Caenorhabditis elegans: one gene and its partners. The protein of the gene in region 2 interacts with the protein of the main gene of each other region in a pairwise test. Each region holds a gene or a part of one and is shown on either strand. Other genes may lie near its edges.

Region 1 (9,238 bases), 1.8 Mb from region 2:
TCCGATAAAAAATTTAGAAAATCACTGATATTTTTCAAAAATCGATAAAAAATTCGAAAAAAAAAATTTCTTAAATTTTTATTGGTTTTTCACATTTTTCGCATTTTTTCTCATAATTTTCAAAGATTCAAATCATTAAAAAAGTTAGAAAAAAAAAACTCACATATAAATTTGCTCTTTGCTCTTCACTTTAATCGCATTCTCGGCCGATTTTCTGTCTGAAATTTGGATTTTTTCAAGAATTTTTCAAAAAAAAATTCTAATTTCTCACGAAATTTACCAAATCTGAAGTGTTGGAGGTATTACTCAAGGACTTGAAACCTTTTAAAAACCAAAAAAATGAAGAAAAAAAATTTGTCATAAAAAGAGGAAATTCATCGTGGAAGACCCGGAGAAAAGGAGGTTTTTGAATGGAAAATTAAAATTAAAACAAAAAAAAATTAATTTTTAAAGTTTCTTGATTTGTTTCTTGAGTAGAGCAACCCGTTGCTTGTGTGCTTCCGTTGGAACAAACTTTTCCTTCGATAAATCAATAACTTCCGTTTGAGACCCAAAATTGTGCGAAGCAGCGCGTGGAACCTGAAATTTAACAATTTTTTCTGATTTTTTAGATTAAAAATCGAGCCAAAACACCTAATTTTAGCTGAAAAACTCGAATTTTGTCTCACATTTTTTGCACATTTTTTGAACATTTTTTGTACATTTTTTGCACATTTTTTGAACATTTTTTGCACATTTTTTGAACATTTTTTGAACATTTTTTGTACATTTTTTGCACATTTTTTGAACATTTTTTGCACATTTTTTGCACATTTTTTGCGCATTTTTTGCACATTTTTTGCACATTTTTTTGCATATTTATTGCACATTTTTGCACAGTTATTGCACATTTTTGCACATTTTTTTGCATATTTTTGATAAATCCATATATCCTAACACTTTTTTTTTCTTCTTTTTCCGATTTTACAAGGTTTTTCGGAGAAAAAAAAATTTCTAATGAATATTTCAATATTTTCTAGACATTTTTTCTCTGAAAAACACTAAAAATCGAAAAAAAAACCCGATTTTCTGTATTTTTCAGGTAAAATTTTTAATACTGGAGAATCGAAAAACGGTAAAAAAGTAGATATTTCAGCTAAAATTAAGCGTTTTTTTTTTACGAAATCCGGTTTTTTAAAGCTATTTTGTGATGAAAATTTTTATCAACAAAAAAAAGAAGATTTTTTTTCCAAAAAAATAGTCAAAAATTAGAGATTTTAGCTAAAACTAGGCGTTTTTTTCTAATTTTTTTTTCACGAAATCCGTATTTTCTAGACCATTTTAAATATCAAAAAAAAACATAAAAATCAGTAATAAAAACGCCGTACCACTGGCATATTATAGACATTCTTGAGAATAAATTCGATATCCCGTGATTCAATTTTCTTCACCTCCCGATTCTTGATCATTTTGCATGCTTTATCGATTAGAGAACTGACAAAATCGTCGGCGTACTCCACAAGAACATCTTTTACATTTTCTTCGAGTACTGTTGTTGAGCTGATTTGTTGCATCAAATCATCCAGTTTTGACTGAAAAAAAAATTTTAAAAAAAAGAAGATTTTTTAAAATAAGAATTTTCGGTTTTTTCAGTGAAAATCAAAAAATCGGAAAAAAAAATTTTATAGAGTTTTTGAAAAAAAAAAACTACGAAAATTTTAGGCTATTTTTTTTTTTTTTTTTATTAATTGTTATAATTTTCGATTTTTTTGTTTGAAAATCTTGAAAATCGAAAATTTAAAATTTTTTAATTAGAAAATTAAACAAAAACTCTTAATTTTACAAGAATTTTTACAAGAAAAATTACCAAAAATTTAGGCATTTTTTTCAGTGAAAATTTAAAAATCGAATTTTTAATAGCAAATTTACAAAAAATTCCATTTTTAATTTCATTATTTTTTCAGGAGCAAAGCAAAAACTAGTGTATGCAGAAGTTCGAATTTTTTTCAAAGTTCAAAAAAAAATTTAAAAATTGTATTGAAAAATTGGAAATTTTCGTTTTTCGTTTAAAAAAAATCGAATTTTCAATAAATTCCGGCCATTTTTCAATACTTTATAGAAAAAAAAAATCACTTTTTTCAATAAAAATCAGCATATTTTTTGATAAATCTATAGCTTTTTCGTCCCCTTCCGTGAATTCTTTGTGCATTTTTTTTCCTATTTTCTCTGAAAAAAAAGACCGAAAAATCTGAAATTTGCTCATTTTCTATGAAAAGACAATCCAAAAAATTTTTTTTTTGCGAATTTTTGCTAGAGAAATTTGTAATTGAAAAAAAAACTAAAAAATCAGAAAATTTTTTAAATTTTCCTGAAAAAACCTGAATTTTTTTCGATTTTCTTTGAAAAAAAATCGGAAAATCTGAGCTTTATTCGATTTTTTCTGAAAAAATTTCAAAATTAAATAAAAATCAATTTTCCAAGTATTTTTGCCGGTTTTTTTGCCGAAATTTCCAAGTATTTTTGCCGGTTTTTTTGCCTAAATTTCCAAGTATTTTTGCCGGCTTTTTTGCCGAAATTTCCAAGTATTTTTGCCGATTTTTTTGCCGGAATTTCCAAGTATTTTTGCCGGTTTTTTTGCCGAAATTTCCAAGTATTTTTGCCGGTTTTTTTGCCTAAATTTCCAAGTATTTTTGCCGGTTTTTTTGCCGAAATTTCCAAGTATTTTTGCCGGTTTTTTTGCCGAAATTTCCAAGTATTTTTGCCGGTTTTTTTGCCTAAATTTCCAAGTATTTTTGCCGGTTTTTTTGCCGAAATTTCCAAGTATTTTTGCCGGTTTTTTTGCCTAAATTTCCAAGTATTTTTGCCGAAATTTTCAAGTATTTTTGCCGGTTTTTTTGCCGAAATTTCTAAGTATTTTTGCCGGTTTTTTGTTGCACCTTTTCCATAATACTTCCATACGGAACAGCGGCCGGTATCATTTGAGGTGGCGGTGCCTGTTGCTGTTGTGGCTGTGGAATTGGAGGCTGTTGAATTTGTTGAGATGGTGGTGGCTGCTGATGTTGCTGCTGATGTTGTACTTGCATAATTTGTTGAGGAGGCAGCGGCATTGGAGACGAGTTTGGCTGGAAATTTTGAAAAATTTTGCCCAAAACTAATGGTTTTTATAGTTTTTCCATTAAATCGGGCTCTTTTTGAGCTCCAAAAAATATTACGCCACGACAAATTTGGCGAATTTGCCGGTTTTTTACGAGCTCGATCGGTAAACGTTGCCTTTTTAGTTCCGGCAATTTGCCGATATGCCGGAAATTTTAATTCCGGCAATTTGCGGGAAAATTGAATTCCGACATTTTGCCGATTTTGTCGGAAATTTCAATTCCGGCAATTTGCCGATTTGCCGGAAATTTTAATTTCAGCAAATTGTCGATTTTGTCGGAAATTTCAATTCCGGCAATTTGCCGATTTTGTCGGAAATTTCAATTCCGGAAATTTGCCGATTTGCCGGAAATTTTAATTCCGGCAATTTACCGGTTTTGCCGGAAATTTCAATTCCGGCAATTTGCCGATTTGCCGGAAATTTCAATTCCGGCAATTTGCCGATTTTGCCGGAAACTCACCACAAATTGTGGTGGTCCACCACCTCCTTGCTGCTGCATCATATGTTGTGGCGGAGGCCCTCCGACCATTCCCATTAAATGTCCAGATGGTCCTGGCTGGAAACATTTTAAAATTAGAGGATTTTTAAGCGGATTTCCAAAAATAACTGCAGAAAAAGTCTTAAAAATGCCCAAAATATGCGAAAAAAAAATTTTTTTTTTGAAGAAATTATACAAGCCTTGAAATTTTCACCGCTGCTCCGCTGCTCCACTGCAGAAATTGTTTTGTAACATTTTTTAGAACAATTTTTCAGAGATTTTTGATCCCGTGGACCCAAATTCCCGAAAAAAGGTTTTTCTTGGGTCTCAAACGGAAGCTTTTTTTAAATTCAAATTTCCCAGATAATAACCGCCCCCGTACCCCTTGAGCCATGCCCATCTGCATTGGTCTCTGTTGCATTTGCATTGATTGCCCATTCGGTGTGAATTGTTGGGGCTGCTGCTGTTGTGGAATACCCATTTGTTGAAAGTGTTGCTGCTGCTGCTGCTGTGGTGGTGGAGGGCCCGCACGCATTTGTGGTGATGGGTATGGCATTTGGCGGACTAAAATTACGAATTATTTCATGAGAAGCCTTATTAAAGAGACGGTGTAGTCACCGAAAATATGAAGATTTTCGCTAGAATTAGGCGATTTTCGGAAATTCAGCATAATTGGAACATCGTCCAATCAGCGTACCGCTCCGCCCACTTCTGGACCAATCAGACGGAGTGGGCGGGGTTTGAAGATGCTGATTGGTAGGAAAATACTCGAAAATTGGTAAATTAAATATTTTAAAAAAGCGATTTTTAAAATGGAATTCTTTGAATTTTTTAAAAGCGATATCTACATTTACCCAAAGCCGCCTTAAATTACACCTAAATTAACGAAAAACGTGAAATAAATATGCAAATTAGGATGAAAATTGAATAAAAATCAATTTCTAGCCACCCTGGCACCGAAAAAATGGAGATTTTAGGCGATTTTCGGAATGTCTGGTAGATCATGGTGTGATCTGCAAAAAATGCGGGAATTTTTGGCCCAAAAAATGTGACGTCAGCACGTTCTTAACCATGCAAAATCAGTTGAGAACTCTGCCGCATTTTTTGTAGATCAACGTAGATCAAGCCGAAATGAGACACTCTGACACAATGTGTGGTTAGGAAATTTGAAAATTCAGCAAAATTAAAACAGCGACCAATCAGCGACCGGCTCCGCCCACTTTTGGACCAATCAGACGGAGTGGGCGGAGAGCTAATTTTAGTAAAATTTGAAAATCACGATTTTTTTTCCGTTTTTTTTGTGGTTTTTCTGAATTTGAAACTATTTTTTTTGGATATTTTTAAAGGTGGTGTAGTCGAATGTTTTTATTTGCTTTATTAGACTCAAAATTGTCTGAAAACACCGAATTTCATAGTGAAACTGTTTGAAAACTTCTCAAAAAATAAGTTATGACGGTTCAAAAAATGACCTAAAATTAGTTAAAATTTGAAATTTTACCGACTAGCCAAGCGTCTGGAAACAATTTTTCGAAATCACCGTCAAATTTTAAGTATACAATTTAATTATCTTGCGTTTTCAACTTCATTTAAGTATTTTAAAGTCGATGGACGGCGAGATTTGGTTTTAAAAAATTTAAAAATCTCGTCGTCCATCGATTTTTAAATACCTTAATCAAATTTAAAACACAAGGTAATTAACTTATATACTCAAAATTTGACGGTGATTTCAAAAAAAAATGTTTCCAGCCGCTGCGACATTGATAAGTTGGTCAAATTTCAAACTTTAACTAATTTTAGGTCATTTTTTGAGCCGTCATAACTTATTTTTTGAGAAGTTTTCAAAAAGTTTCACTATGAAATTCGGTGTTTTCAGACAATTTTGAGTCTAATAAAGCAAATAAAAACATTCGACTACACCACCTTTAAAAATATCCAAAAAATAGTTTCAAATTCAGAAAAACCACAAAAAAAAACGGAAAAAAATCGTTAAAAAAATTTAAAAATCTCGCCGTCCATTGATTTTTAAATACCTAAATCAAGTTGAAAATGCAAGAAATGCACTAATTTTAGGCCATTTTTTGAGCCATCATAACTTTTTCCTGAAAAGTTTTCAAGAAGTTTCATTATTAAATTCGATGTTTTCAGACAATTTTGAGTCTAATACAGCAATAAAAAAAAAATTCAACTACACTCTCTTTAAAAATATCCAAAAATACATTAAAATTCAGAAAAACCACAAAAAAAAAAACGGAGAAAATCGCGATTACAAACTCCGCCCACTCCGTCTGATTAGTCCAAAAGTGGGCGGAGCCGGTCGCTGATTGGTCGCTGTTCCAATTTTGCTGAATTTCCGAATTTCCTAACCACACATTGTGTCAGAGTGTCTCATTTCGGCTTGATCTACGTTGATCTACAAAAAATGCGGCAGAGTTCTCAACTGATTTTGCATGGTTAAGAACATGCTGACGTCACATTTTTTTGGGCCAAAAATTCCCGCATTTTTTGTAGATCACACCATGATCTACCAGACATTCCGAAAATCGCCTAATTCTAGCGAAAATCTCCATTTTTTCGGTGCCAGGGTGGCTAGAAATTGATTTTTATTCAATTTTCATCCTAATTTGCATATTTATTTCACGTTTTTCGTTAATTTAGGTGTAATTTAAGGCGGCTTTGTGTAAATGTAGATATCGCTTTTAAAAAATTCAAAGAATTCCATTTTAAAAATCGCTTTTTTTAAATATTTAATTTACCAATTTTCGAGTATTTTCCTACCAATCAGCATCTTCAAACTCCGCCCAATCTACCTGATTGGTCGAAAAGTGGGCGGAGCGAATCGCTGATTGCTCAGGCATTTCTCATTTTGGAGGTAATTCGAAAAATCATGTTTTTCGAGTTAACTTTTTCACTTTTTCGCGATTTTTTTCTTTTTTCTTCGGAAAAAACGTAAAATAGCCGACTAAAATAGGCGGAATAGGACAAAATTGGAGATTTCAGCTAAATTTTGAGCAATTTTTTTTTCATTTTTCACGGAATTATTTCTGAATTTGAGGCATTTTTTAGGAGTTTTTTCTTCATACTTTGCTGCTGTGGCATCTGCATTCTCATCGGGCCGCCCATTCCACCCATCGGCGGTTGGCCCACAAACTGCTGCTGCTGCTGCTGTTCGTTGGGATTCTGATGGCCTTGTGGCGGAATTCCCTGCTGCATTGGCTGAAAATGTGGGTGATAGACGTGATATCCATGATGGTAGGGCCACATTTTTTAGTATTAGTAAATATATATATATATATGGACAGAGGACGACGAGAAGCTTTTGTGATGGAAATGGTTTTGTCGGGGGAAGAAGAGAAGCACAATCGATATGAGAATAATACACATACACTTTGGACGTTTACGGGGGAAAAAAAACGGAGAGGCGCTCCGATTTTTTATTATTTTTATTCGTTTTTTTTGTTTTTTTTTTGTCGGCTGGCCGGTGAGTCATTGTTGGGACAGAAAGCAATAATTAGAGAGCGGACACACAAATCGCTTACAGAATTCGTGGAGAGAGCGGCGGCGATTTGCGGGTTCGCCTGCACGATTACGTGATTATTCGGTGAAGTTGGAGGTGAGAATTCTTCCATTTTCATTTTTTATCTGCAACTAAGTTTTTTTTTGATGATTTTAAAGCTTAAAATCTTTCGGAAAACCGAGGAAAATGGAAATATATTCATAAAAATGAATAAATTCGTTAAATTCGATAAATTTTCCACAGTACCTCGGTCGTTGTGAGACCCAATGTTAAACAAAAGCATTGCGCCTTTAAAGTTATACGGTGAAACTTTTCAAGCAATTTCTATTTTTTTCCGAATTTTTAGTTGCTAATTATTATTTTTGATTAAATATTACGAGAAAAATTTTAATTTTGAAGAATTTCTTCAAATAAAGTTTAAAAAACCGAGGAAAAGTCAAAATTAATAACTGAAACTCGGTTCGCTGTGAGACCCAAACTTAAAAATAGCAATGCGCCTTTAAACTTATACGGTTGTATTTTTAGGCAATTTAAAGTGAATTTATGTTTTTTCCAGAATTATAGTTGCTAGCTATTATTAATTTTAAAACCGAGTGAAAATTTTAACTTTGAGAATTTTCTTTTAAAAAAAACCAAGGAAAAATCAAAATTAATGACTGAAACTCGGTTCGCTGTGAGACCCAAAGTTAAACAACAGCAATGCGCCTTTAAAGTGATACGGTGGCGATTTTCAAGCAATTTAAAATCAAATTGAATTTATTGGAAAAAATCAATGAAAAAGACCTAAACTAATAAATATTCAAAGTTTTATTCTCGAATTGCACATAATATTATGCGCCGAAACCTCGTAAAATTAGGCAGATTCTGATATAAGGGAAAAACGATCCGAAAAATGTAGGACATTGGGGGAATAGAGACGTAGGGGGTGGTGGCGAGAAATTGAGGCCAATGAAGAGAACGAGAGACCTCTCTAGCTCTTTTCCGTCTCTTCTCGCAACTATCTCTCTCTCTCTCTCACTAGTGTGGTTTATTAGAACCTAAATGAGCGTGGCCGTGGGAAAACCTAGGCCACGCCGTTGCGAGGAAGTGCAAGTAAACAGAAAAAAGACGACGGCGGACGTCTTATAAAAACAAACATGTCACATTTTGTTGTCCACTCTGTCATTATTTTGCGAAAGAATTGGGATCGAATTGGGAAGTACATTTTTGGGTCTCGCCGCGATTGTTTTCTTTAATTGAATATAACTGTACCATGTGATCACTGGAAATGGAAAAACATATTTTATCTAACATTGGTTGAGGAAAAGGCAATAAAAACAATTAAAATATCGAGTTATTACAGTACACCGAGGTTTAAAGGCGCATGAGGGTTTTGAAAAGTCAAAGTAAAACTGGATATTAGCGTAAAATTTTGTTCGGTCATAATCGAGTATATTCGTAAAGTTAAAAAAAAATTTGGGTGTTTGGTTTTAAAATAATGTTTTTTTGAAAATTGAGTTTTTACTAAATTTCAGCTAAAGAAAAACTTGAATTTTAGTCGAATTTTGAACGGTGGGTAATAATTTTTTGTGTTTATATTATTATTCAGACATCAGTAAGTAAATTGGTAAAGTTTGAAAAAAATTTGGGTGTTTGGTTTCGAAGAAAATAATTTTTTGAAAATTTGAATTTTTATTCATTTTCAGCTAAACTAAAACTGAAATTTCAGACAAATTTCGAACGGTGGGTATTAATTTTTTGTGTTTATATTATTATTCAAAGATCAATTAGTATATTGGTGAAGTTTTAAAAAATTTGTGTGATTGGTTTTGAATAAAATAATTTTTTTGAAAATTGGAATACATATTAATTGGGAGCTAAACTAAAACTGGAATTTCAGTCAGATTTTGAACGGTGGGTATTAATTTTTTGTGCTTATATTATTATTCAGACATCGGTTAGTATAATCGGTTAGTAGATTGGTAGTTAAAAAAAATTTGGGTGTTTGGTTTTGAAGAAAATAATTTTTTGAAATTTGTAATATGTTCATCGGCAATGGCTGGTGGCCTAGAATTTCCCAATTAGGCCATCAAATCTGAAATTAAAAAAGCACATATTCAGCTGTAAAATAATT
Region 2 (6,441 bases):
TCCGAATTTGCGTTACTATGAACCTCCAAACTCCTCTTAAATTTCAGAAGGAAGCGGTAAAAAGTGTCACATCTACTACTTGTCTTGTCGCGAAGCAATGGGTCTTCCACCAAAGAAGAAGGCACCAATGGGTCCCAACGGCAAGCGGTTGTGTCGCAAAGTGAAGAAAGACGACTGATCTCCCTGTTTCCCTGTGCCTTTTTTTTTAGTTTAGTAACACCCGGCTGAGCCATTTTATCGGTCATATGTCATTTTCCCGTCAATTCTTGTAACTATTCAGACAATAATGACGTTTAGACTTTCTTTTTTCTCTGAAATAAAATTTTCAAATGCAATTCTTACATTCGGCTCGACCTCCTTGAGCCACTCGTTGGCGGCTTCATCGTAATCCAGTTTGCAAGCTGTGGCGAGGTCGGTCTTTGCCTCGACCCACTTGCCGAGAAGACGATTGGCACGACCGCGGAATTTGTAGCCTTGTGCCGAGTCTGGGTTGATAGAGATCGCTTTGTCACAATCAGCAATCGCTGCGACCGGACGTTTGAGCTTAAGAAGGACGCTGAAAAATGCGATTATTCAGGTTTTGAAAAGAAAATCCTCACTTGGCTCTCTTGGCGTGAAGCATTGCAGATCCTGGATTAGCCTCAATTGCGGCGGTGAAGTGAGTGAGGGCTGTGTCGAAATCGCCGTTGGAAAACGCCTCTTGGGCTTTTCCTCTCTCCTCGGAGGCCTTTTCGATCTCATCCTCGGTGGCTTCTTTGGCAGAGTCTCCCATTGGCAAAGCCACCGCCTCTTCTGGCTCGATGACTCCCTCGTTGTCAATTTTCGGGAATGGAATCTCCTCCGGCTTCGGGATTTCTGGCTCTGGAGTTGCCTCGGCGGCTGGAGTTTCCTTCTTTGGCTCCTCAGACATCGGGCACTTTCCTTCTGGCTTGTCAGCTGGTTTTGGGGGAAGAGTGGCTCCAAGGCTGAAAATGTGGCACATGTTTGAGCTGAATTTGTACTAGAAAACTTACGAAACAAGGTAATCCTTAAAAAATCCAAATTCCGGGGCGTGCAAAACCGCCGGGTTCGCTTGGCACATGCCAACGAATTGCTTGAGCAATGCGACGTGGTCCATTTTCTGGAAGGTAAAAGCTTTGGAGTTTATTTTAAATCATTTAAAGGAATAGGTTAAGAATCAAAAAATAGAGAATTGAAGTGTTTATTCAATTTGTTTGGAAGTGTAAACAATATTGCAAACAGCACGTGATGCCGCCAGAGGTGTTCCGACTACGCAAAGAGGGGATTTAAAGTGAAAAATAGATAAATACCTGATAATTTAGATCAAAAAATTAGAATAACGCCTTTTAAACCAAAAAACTCCTTTGAATTATCGAAAATTCTAGAAATTCTCGAGAAAAATAAATTTCAAAACAGGCATATTCTGTGCATTTGCGCGTGGGATCTAGCGCCCGTTGTGCATTGCGCCATGGCATTTGAAATTGGCGCCCGAAAATTTTTTGTTTTATATCAATTTTTTGGCTTATCGATAATTATCCTTGAAATTCTGCAGAAAAATAGATTTTTCTGTAAAATTTCGCAGGAATTGTATTCAGCACGTAATGTGCATGGTTTCCGTGGCAACTTGGGCGCTCTTTGCTTCTCTGTGCTCTATGCTCATGCCGCAACTCGAAAATTCGAATTTTAATTCTAATTGCCCTCTGTTAACCCTCTTTTTCCCGCCGGATAACCTCCAAACTATTGGTATCTTGTCGATGAATCGGTGAGAAAAAGTTCCGAACAACAAGAATTCGGGATGTTGTTCTTCCTCGCGTCTCCACCATCTCCACACACTCTCACGCGGTTGAACGGACAGTCAGGACACCGCCGCGCGGGGAAACTGCCCGTTTTGGTCGTCTCTTCTGCTGTGTGTGTCTACTATTCAAATAAACTCGCCAATCGATCGCCATTTCAGTTCATGTGCGGTGAATAATGTGTTGTGAAACTCGTTTTTCTCGGGAAATAGCCGAGAAAGGCTGAATTTTTGCTTGAGAATTTCTGGAAGGCATGAAATGTTTTCAGCTCTCTTCGAAAATCTTCTACCGCCCACCCATTTTCCTCCCGAATTGTTTCGTCCCCGTGACTCATTCTCTCTTTTATCGCCAACTTCTCACTCACTGATAATCGATTTTCGTTTTCATCCCGTCTTCTCAATTTTCCAATTTCAGCTGTGAGAAATGGACGATTTGGCTGATTGTCGTGAGGTTTTCGCCTATTTTGACAGCAAAGGCGACGAGCGAATCTCTGTTCAGCAGGTTTTTAATTCAATATTTTACTTTTTTAATCCAAAATTCATATTTCAGGTCGGTGATGTGCTCCGCGCGCTCGGCCAGAACCCAACAGAAGCCGAAATTCACAAATGTGTCGGCTCGTTCGATCGGGAAGCTCGGCTTTCATTCGAGGACTTTGTCCCAATTTTCCAGTCGGTGTCCAAGAATCGGTTCGTGGCGAATTTTCAGTTAATAAATTTCAATTTCTACATAATTTCAGTGAAAAGCACACCGTTGAGGAGTTCGTCGAGGGGTTGTCGCATTTCGACAAGGAGGGAAACGGAATGATCAATGTCGCAGAGCTCCGACACTTGCTCACCACTCTTGGTAGGATTTTGAGTGAATATTATCAAAAAATTAATATATAAGTAGCTTTTCAAAAATGTTCTGCTGGTCTATACAATTTTAAAGTTTACCCCAATTTTATCAATTTTTTTTCAAGGAGAACGCCTATCCGATGAAGACGTCGATCAATTGCTCTCCGGACACAACGATTCTCACGGAAACGTCAATATCTCGGATTTCGTACGCGCTGTCATGAACTCCTAAAAAATAATCGAATTCAGCTGATGTAAATATATCATTTCCATTAATTTCCTCGGCATTTTCCACACAATCTATTTATTTATCGACTTTTTTGCATCCGTTAATTCTATTTCTTATTCGCTCTCTCCCAGTTCACCAAAAAAAACTTGCAACGATTCAGTGAACAACTTTGTATCCTCCGTGTTTTAAGATGAATTTTTCTAAATTTTAATTCTAATTTCATAATTTTTGTATTTCGTGTTACATCTCACATGATATTTCTGTATTTCCTCTCCGTTATTTTTGTGGGGAAATCCATATAATTGCATTTTCAGAAAGAAAAATGGCAGATACAGGAGAAAAAGACACAGAAACGACGGCAAGTGGTACCGATGGACACAGTAAAGAGGCGCTTGCTGTAATAAGCATGCTCCACGAGTGTGGAATTCAAGAGTTTGATCCACGCGTCGTTTCAATGCTTATGGATGTGAGAAAATACAAAATTGAGCTCTAAAAATTCAAAAAATAATGATTTTTTCCAGGTTCAATACGCAGTGACGTCAAAAATCCTCCAAATGTCAAGTGGACTGTCCAGGCATGCTGAAAAAGCGCAAATCGAGGCAGAAGACGTTCAAACGGCGGCCGACATGCTCGGCGTTCTGACCACAAACGCTCCGGACCGTGAGAAGATTCTGCAATTGGCGAATGACAAAAATCAGCAGCCCCTACCGCAAATTCGACACAATTATGGCCTGAAGCTGCCCAACGATCGATTCTGTCAATTACAGCAGAATTTTGTGTACAAAGCTGACGACAGTTATCAGCCGTACGTTTTTTTTCTCGATATATCTTGAAAAATCTGTAAAAATTTGATTTTAAACGGAAAGAAGGTATTTTAAAGTGGAGTACGACCAGTGGGGAAACTATTAAAAACCATTCCTATGGTTCAAAAATGACAAAATAACAATAAAAACTCACAATAGAACTTTTAAAAAAATTATGATACTTTTCCTTTTTTACACCGCATTTTTAAATGAATATTCAAAACATTGAATTATTCAAATTTAATTCTCACGTGAATCATTTTCAGGCTTATGGGGTTATTCAAGTAATGTAGCAAAATGTATTTAAATACATTTGTGACGTCACAAATGTATTTAAATACATGTTTTTATATACTTGAATACAGTTGTGACGTAATTAATCTACACTTTTTAATTTTCCGACACTACTTGAATAACCCCATTAGAAAACAAAATTACAGAAAAAGTTCACATTTTTATCCAAGAAAATGTTCCAGAAAAATGCGGGGTAGAAAAGGAAAAGTACCAAATTTATAGAAGATTTTTTGTTTCAAGTAAAAAAAGGTGTTGTTTGGAGCCACCTTTCGAGAAATCGAAAACACTTTCGCATTTTCGTGCCCCCAAAATAATTAAATATGAATGCATAAGACATGGAATAAGTTTTTTTTAATCGATAACTTCCAAAAACATTTGTTAAAAACTAAGTTTTCACCGCTTTTTGAGCCGAAATATAAATTTTTTCCGAAATTTTCATTCTAAAAATTTACAGAAATTCTATATTTAAACTTGTCGATTTTCAATGCTTTTTGTGGCTACTGTCAGTTTCATTTGAAAAATATTGATTCAAATTTGCATTTTCATCTCAAAAATTGTTTTTTCGAATCAAAAATACAAAACCTTGACACAAAACTAAAAGTCACATATTTTCCGACAATATTCCATTTAGTTATTGTTTTTAAATCTTTATGGCATGCGTTTTTTTTTTCTGTAGTAAAATGAAATTATACATATCAAATTCAAAATTTTCAAGTTTTCAGAATGGAAATGCAACAAGTCACCCATCAGCCACATATCATCGAACCACCAACACAAGTGCTACGGCCGGAGCATGTACAGAATATGCTCAAGCGAAGAGCTCCAGACGATGATTTTGACTCATAACTTTTTAATTTTGTTTTTTTTATGCCATTTTCTACTTTATCTAATCAATCCTGCCAATGATCTCTATGAAACCCAGATTTTTATTTATAAAATTCAAAAATTTACACAATTACAATTCAAAAACAATTCAATTATCCCCTCCACCTGTCACCGCATTTTTCAGCTCACTCGTCGACTCGACAATTTTGTTGGCTGCCATTTTCAAATGATCGTAACGGCTAGCCTTACGCATTGGCGGAACCTGACCAGCTTCCATGTACGTTTCGGGTGCGATTTCCGGAGCATCCACGTGTTTATTGTGCTCGGCGAGCAACTGCTCAGCTCGGTCGATCTCCTGTTTCAAAAGCTCGACGCGTTCTTTGTTGGATTGCGTCTCGCTTTCGATTCGGCATTGCTCCTTGCAGAGGTCGTATTCGGAGAGCTTCAATATATCCAAGTTTTTGGCTAAAAATTCAAATCCTACCTGCTTCTGGGGCGGCACCACCTTCTGCACGTAGATAACCTTCTGTGCCCTGAAAAATCGATAAAGATGGAAAAATCAACCAATAAACTGGCTCACTTTGGTTTTTTCGACTCTCCGAGGCTACATACGGCTAGCAGAAAAACTGCGAGAAGGAATTTCATTCTGAAAAACGACACGAATTAAGTTTTAGCATTTAAAACCCCGAAGAACTTTCCAAGTTGAAAACAGTATGAAAAAGTAGGTCTCTCAGTGTAGGCATGAAAATGCTTGCCTGCCTCGTGTCTACTGTCAAAATACATGTAATTAGAAAGTAAAATTAGAAACGCGTAAATCTATGCAAACACCGGACACTTAATCATCACAGAAATCAGACTATAGGCAGGCAGGCAGGCATTGAAGCTCACTCACGAAAACTTTAAAAAGTTGAATGAAACTTATCTCCTCACACCCTATTTATAGATAAAAATGCAAAACAACAAGCACCAAAAACCGTATGACCGTCACCAATTGACGCAAACCGACAAGACATTGTGTGCTCTGAGAAGACGCAGACCTCACCACGGGGTTCAGGTGATAAGGCTTTTTAGGGAATTGTTTGTGATAGTGAATTAGGGAATCAGAAAATATGTTTTTTAAACTTGTTTTTTAAAAAAAATCTGAATCGAAAGTGCAACAAAATTTGAAAAAGCATGGAATTTATTGATTATCCCCTCCAAGCGAAAGTAACACTCGAGACAAAATGATAAAATATTAATCGGTATAAAATGGATATTTGGGCGCAAATGAGGCTTCACCGAACTGTGCTTGCTCCTTCTCCTCTGATATGTCACTGGCGCCGAAGAATGATTCTCTGAAAAATTTCAGGGAATTTGTAAAAACTATAAAAATTTTAAAAACTAAAAAATTGCGTATTGCGCAACATATTTGACGCGCAAAATATCTCGTAGCGAAAACTACAGTAATTTTTTAAATTACTACTGTAGCGCTTGTGTCGATTTACGGACTCGATTTTCGGAATAAATTAAAATCAAGCAAAAATGAGAAAATAATACGAAGAAACGAAGGAAAATGGAATATCTCTGACATTAAATATTTGTAAAAAAATTCATTTAGACAATCAAGCCCGTAAATCGACACAAGCGCTACAGTAGTCATTCAAAGAATTACTGTAGTTTTCGCT
Region 3 (5,971 bases), on a different chromosome or scaffold from region 2:
ATTCCAGAGCACTGGTCACAGCGAGCACAAGATAATATTACAATGGGATTTGGTTTTGCTCAGAGTTGGATGAACACCATAAAACCATCGAGAAATACAGTAGAAGAACGAATAAGACTCCCACAAATATATCATGTTCCAAGAAAAGAATTCGTTTGTTTGGTGGCACTCACATCGGTTGATGAAGCTCTCTTCCACACAATATTAATGTTCCCATGACTTCTGAGGTCTTTTAAAATGCATTTCTTCTCTTCTTCAGATCGAAATTTTGTATACATCTCAGCACCCCATAAACAAAAGTTAATTTTCAAAAAATGTTTGATAGATTTGATTCTGTTGAATATTTTCGGCTGCATACTTTAAGCAACAAGTGGATTTTACACCAAATTGTTAACTGTGAGCCGAAAAGGCTGCATCCCTTTTTTGATAAAGAACCAAAGCCAAACCACGTACGGGCTAGAAGAGGAAGAGATTATGATCGTTTCTGAATTTTCAAATAATATTGTAATGTTATTTTCTTCATATGTGCTAGTAAAATGCTTTTTATGGGATGATGCAAGTGAATTTTTCTACATTTCTCGACAATTTATTTGCAATGCAAGTAAGCAGCATAATGACGCAAAATTCGCCATTTTTTTTACATTTCTCTACATTTCTCGACATTTGAAAAAAACACTCATTTTTCGTCAAAACCACGTCTTTAGTTCACGACTTTACCTTCCCAGACGTTCACGTTTGTTAAAAGTAGTGTAAAATGGGAAAAATAAAAATAATTTGAGAATTTTAAAAGATAGATGCGTGGCCATTCAACGTGGTGTTGCAAAACAGCCAAATTTGAAAAATCAAACTTGATCATTTTTAAATTTTAGAATTCAAAACCACGTTGAATGACCACGCATCTATCTTTTAAAATTCTCAAATTATTTTTATTTTTCCCATTTTACACTACTTTTCACAAACGTGAACGTCTGGGAAGGTAAAGTCATGAACTAAAGACGTGGTTTTGACGAAAAATGAGTGTTTTTTCCCACGTCGAGAAATGTAGAGAAATGTAAATAAATGTAAAAAAATTGCGAATTTCGCGTCATTTCGCTGCTTACTTGCATTGCAAATAAATTGTTGAGAAATGTAGAAAAATTCACTTGCATCATCCCATTAGAGATGAATTCCTATTTGAAACTGCTGCAACTATGTAAAAAATATATATGGTGACTTATTGATATTTCATTTTCCATTTTCACAACCTCGTGGACCACCAAAGCAACATGCAATATTCTATTTTGTTTTTTAGGCCTGTTCAAATAAGTTTCCAGTGATACGCAATTTATCGTAGCCGTTATTGCACAAAAAACGTCAATGAGTGACAGTAGTCCACGCGCATAACTGTTCATCATTTTTCGTTTCATTTGTTTTTTCTCTGGACAGATCTGTGTTTCTCGCAATTTCTTTTCATATTAAATCGTTAAAATAGTAATTTTCAATTTCCAATTATAAGAAAACCGAAAGTTATTCTTATAATCTCTCAAATGCTTAAAAAACCAACCTAAATAAACAGAAGTTCCTTTTGGATTATTTTAAATTATTTTTGCCAAATCTAAAAATAAAACCAAAAATAAATCAAAATATTCTCAACTATGAGACATTTGTTTAAAAATCGTTTTTTTTTTCGCTTTTGTATTTTACAGGCAGTATTTGTTTTTTTACACACGTTGCCATCTTAATCTATTTTATTCGAAATTTTTATAAAATCTAAATTTATTTTCAGGACGGCGTCTTCCAATTATCTAATATCGGAGGATGTATTCGCCAGAATCGTAAGGCTCCTGCTCAATCATAAAAAAACGCTTGCCTCTATTGTTAATCCTACATGTCTCCCTTTTCTCACGTCTAGCGTTCTTCTCTCCCCTCCCAACATCGCCCTATCTACTGTAATCCAACGTCACCATCTGTCCCCGCTGCCTCCATGCCGTCGTCTTTTTTTGCTCCCGTTTGCTGCGATTGCCCTCCCACGAAGGACCTCTTTGGTGTAAACAGTGGAACGGACCCAAGAGTGCGCGTACGCGGTCCGCGAGCGGCTGACCGCGCACGTCATTAGAAGAGACAACAAATGAATCAGAGAGACGCAGAAGAAGGGACCATAATGTCCCGCCCTTTCCCCGTTGGGTTGAGAGACTTAGACCCCCGAACGCTGCTAATGTTACAAATATGTCATTCCAATAGGATTTTGGTCTACCGTCTGGCTGCATAGTTTTTTACTTCCTATTTTAACCTCATCACTCAATTGGTCTTATCTTCCATGTAACTTAGAATAATTTATTAATTTCAGAATGAACTCCAACATATCTTCTCCATCCCCTCCGTCGTCGTCTTCTCTTAATGCTCCAAGTCTTGCGGATGCTCCTGAAGTTAGATCCGATGATGGAGAAGCCGAAACTTCCGAACCATCGACTTCTGTCACAGCTGTACCAATGGAGATTGTGTCCCAAGCATCTACATCTGCTCCTGTTAACCAGTTGCTCGCGAGCGGAATTGATATGTCTAGCGTTATTAAAGTAAGTTTCCTCTATCCAAGATGTTATTTCATTTGATTGTTATTTCAGAACAACGCTGTTTTACAGGCACTTCTTGCCAGTGCCAGTGCCGGTGGATTCGGAGACAACGCAGGCCTCACCATGTCAAAATTATTGACCGCCGCTCTCGCCAATGGATCCACTGCGGTTGCTAAAAGAGATGCAGGTTCTCCACGTACTGATATCCCAAAGAAAACTCGTCTGAAAGTGTTTTCAAACGGATTTTTCATGACATTTGACAAGCTTTCATCATGTCAAAAGAAATATTTCTGGAGATGTGAATACAAGAACACTTGTAAAGCACGAATGCATACGGATATTGTTACTGAAAAGATCCTCACGTTTATCCATGAGCACAATCACAGTGCACCAATAGATGAAGAAGTTAGACTTTATGGATTGGACCCAACGAATATCGAAAGAAATCGTGTCTACATAGTTGGAAATGTTGCTGATCCAAATCAACGAAGAAAGATCCGAAAGCAAGTTGCGGATAGAGAAGCAGCTGCAAAGAGGCTCGTTCAACAGCAAGAAGAAGAACAACAGAAGCAACAAAGTGCATCATCAATTGTGGCGGCTCGAGCAGCTTATGCGCAAGCAATGCAGAATGGCTCAATACCCACATCTTCTGGGGTCGCGTCTTTTCTCCAGTCAACTTCGGCCACTGCTCCAATGACGTCTCATTCAATGCTCCTTGCGCAGATGCCATTTTTAAATAATATTAAAACGGAGATGTCAAATATGGTGAAAAACGAACAATTCACTCCTGAAAGATACACACAGCATATGTCTCCAAACTTGGTATGTCAACTTAGTGTTGAAAGTTTATTCTATAATAATTTTTAAGCCATTGCAGACCGCCACAATTGCTCCACTAATAATTCCAACAGAGAACTACGACTCACCTTCATATAGACAACCAGCAATCAAAAGAAAAGCTACTGATTTGACGAATGAAGAACATGATTTGAGAAGAGATCCGATGTTCCAGCCAACTTTCGAGCTTGCCAGAAAATTGAGAAAACTGTGGAAAGGAGAACCGAACAGATATCCAAGAACTACTACGACTCCGACTCATCATTTTGAATTCTTCCTTTCTAAAAATGATGGAACAGATGAGCATCTCTATGTTCCAATGAGAATCAATCTCCGTGATGAAGCACACTTAAAAGAGGCACTTCAAGACTTCTGTGGTCAACAATGTATCGGAATGCTTCTTTTCGGAATTTCACCAAAGATCAGTGTAATGTTCAATCAACCCATGTTGAATAATTGGGACAATAATCAATTCTTCCTGCTCGACATTTCAAATCCAAGCCGTTGGCGACTGATGTATGTGGATGATCAAGCTGTGTAATTTAACCGAATACTGATTGTTTTTTATATGTGTAAAATGTAAAATTTCCTCCACTCTCCACCTATCTCATTAAATATTTTCTGTGACATTTCTCCATCGAAACTGGTTTTTACCCAATGTAAACCTCATCCTAAGTCTACGATTCAATCTAAATCACATCTACCTCCCTTTTCCAGATGTTTTTTGAACCATTCCACTAATAATGTGTAATGTTATCTTTGACTTGCTATCAATTATCCTTATTTTTTAACGTGTTCTATCCGTTGTAGGATTGTAATAAAACAGTAAAGTGATAAGCGTGAATGATATAAAACACAGTTGAAAATGATTAGGTGATTGGAAGAAGAAATGAATTTGAAGAAGAATTTAGTGAATTCTGAAGAGGATGAACTTCGAAAAGTTGCTTTCGTGGCGACTGTTGTCAGGTATGTTCCGATTTCCACGTGGCAGAATAGTACAAGCTGGAAATTTTCAGTGCTGCTTCTGGAATCATGTGCATTATTCTAATTCCTGGGCTTTACACATATCTACAATATATTCAAAGCTCTGTTCAAACTGATGCAAGTGATTTCTATTCACATTTTGGTATTTATTCTGCATTTTTAGGTTGGATTTTGTGTTGACGGGGCTAAGAATCTGGAAAATATGTATGAATCAACGAAGGCTGTTGGTTCAGGGCCAGTAAAAAGACAAGCTGGATATGGAGGTAACTTGTAACTTTTGTGGGACTTTTTGAAACTAATTCAATATTAGCTTCTTCCCCCTCTCGAGCTTCTGGAAGTCATCCAGCTCCATCTCCATACGACGCTGCATCCACTTCTTCTTCATCTTCTTCCGATTCTTGTTGCAGCTGTGGAATTGGTCTTGCTGGGCCAGCAGGTTTCCCAGGTCGACCAGGACGAGATGGAATAGATGGACCAGCCGGAAAACCTGGACGAGATGGGCAAGATTTGGATGGAGAATCGTCTTCTGATGGATCACAAATTGAGCTTGATTGCCCAGCAGGACCACCAGGGCCACCAGGAAATCCAGGTCCTCAGGGTAATTCTGGGCGACCTGGAATGGATGGTATGCCTGGTAGAAATGGAAGATGCGGGAGACCAGGAGAGCAGGGAGAACGTGGACCAAATGGAGAAGATGGACGACCTGGAAGACGTGGAGACGATGGAATGCCCGGAACAGTTAACGAAATTCCAGGCCAAGCAGGTCCACCAGGTCTTCGTGGTGCTCCTGGAGCTACTGGATCGCAAGGACCACGTGGAAATGATGGTAGACCAGGAAACAAGGGACCAGCAGGACCACCTGGAGACCAAGGATTTGATGGAGCACCAGGAGGACCTGGAGCTGATGGAGAACCTGGAGCACAAGGACCTTTGGGAGCAAAGGGAGAATGTTCACACTGCCCACCTCCACGAACTGCTCCTGGATACTAATTTTTATCTGTTTTGTTGATTAGATTTAGTTTCTGTAAATAATGAACACTTTTAGCACTATTTACTTAAATTATTCAAAAAGTACAGTGACCTATCTGCGAAACACAACGCAAGACGAAGAGACACAGACATAAAAAACTACAATACTCCGTTCTGACGCTGCTCGTATTTTATTTTTTGCGTCTTATTTTTTTTAATTTTTGCACGTTTTGTTTAAAATTTACTTTAAATTTTTATTTAATGAATTCCCGACCTTAATTTTTGTAAAAATCGGTTTGCATTACACATTTTGTTAATATAAACTGTTAAAAATCAACTATCATCGCCCATACTTCTCCGAAATGAGCCAAAATTGAAATTTACGTCATGTTCTTCAACATTTAAAATCATTAGAAACGTTTGTTGATTTGAAATTAAAGTATAGCAATTTATTTGAAAACTCTCGTTTTCATGATATATGTACTGACAAATCTAAGGTAAATAATCAATTTCTAAGTTTAAAAGAGATCAAATTGTTTTCAGTTTAAGCATATTTAAATCTAAATCTTATCGGATTTCATTGTTTCTAGTTTTTATCGTACTGAATTCCAATCATTTAAATAATTATAGAA

What was found. The genes of interacting proteins can lie anywhere in the genome.
Region 1: the proteins of taf-9 (region 2) and taf-12 interact in a two-hybrid assay, tested with the Caenorhabditis elegans proteins (one large-scale study listed by BioGRID).
Region 3: the proteins of taf-9 (region 2) and flh-1 interact in a two-hybrid assay, tested with the Caenorhabditis elegans proteins (one large-scale study listed by BioGRID).

What each region holds. Positions count from the first base shown.
Region 1 is NC_003281.10:11,862,032-11,871,269, forward strand, and holds taf-12 (Transcription initiation factor TFIID subunit 12), read right to left. Parts: upstream 7,251-9,238; 5' UTR 7,244-7,250; coding exon 7,148-7,243; intron 6,825-7,147; coding exon 6,692-6,824; intron 4,176-6,691; coding exon 3,994-4,175; intron 3,690-3,993; coding exon 3,594-3,689; intron 3,102-3,593; coding exon 2,916-3,101; intron 1,572-2,915; coding exon 1,368-1,571; intron 580-1,367; coding exon 448-579; 3' UTR 362-447; downstream 1-361. UniProt on the Caenorhabditis elegans protein: Part of the general transcription factor complex TFIID. Plays a role in recruiting taf-4 to the nucleus and thereby activating transcription initiation by RNA polymerase II, as part of the TFIID complex.
Region 2 is NC_003281.10:13,621,107-13,627,547, forward strand, and holds taf-9 (Transcription initiation factor TFIID subunit 9), read left to right. Parts: upstream 1-3,169; 5' UTR 3,170-3,177; coding exon 3,178-3,321; intron 3,322-3,376; coding exon 3,377-3,660; intron 3,661-4,674; coding exon 4,675-4,798; 3' UTR 4,799-4,901; downstream 4,902-6,441. Other genes in the region: hip-1 (STI1 domain-containing protein), read right to left, coding at 343-556, 600-965, 1,014-1,117; T12D8.9 (Protein PFC0760c-like), read left to right, coding at 48-178; mlc-5 (Myosin-2 essential light chain), read left to right, coding at 2,217-2,294, 2,343-2,479, 2,530-2,636, 2,752-2,858; T12D8.5 (uncharacterized protein), read right to left, coding at 4,926-5,219, 5,262-5,310, 5,358-5,422; arrd-17 (Arrestin domain-containing protein 17), read right to left, coding at 6,012-6,111.
Region 3 is NC_003282.8:9,260,058-9,266,028, reverse strand, and holds flh-1 (FLYWCH transcription factor 1), read left to right. Parts: upstream 1-1,765; 5' UTR 1,766-1,797; coding exon 1,798-1,814; intron 1,815-2,326; coding exon 2,327-2,552; intron 2,553-2,600; coding exon 2,601-3,371; intron 3,372-3,417; coding exon 3,418-3,927; 3' UTR 3,928-4,221; downstream 4,222-5,971. Other genes in the region: Y11D7A.19 (NADH dehydrogenase [ubiquinone] 1 alpha subcomplex subunit 13), read left to right, coding at 1-219; col-120 (Nematode cuticle collagen N-terminal domain-containing protein), read left to right, coding at 4,276-4,352, 4,403-4,487, 4,534-4,633, 4,681-5,360. UniProt on the Caenorhabditis elegans protein: Probable transcription factor. Binds to the DNA sequence motif 5'-[AG]GGCGCCG-3' in the promoters of target genes, including micro-RNA genes, in order to repress expression, and acting redundantly with flh-2.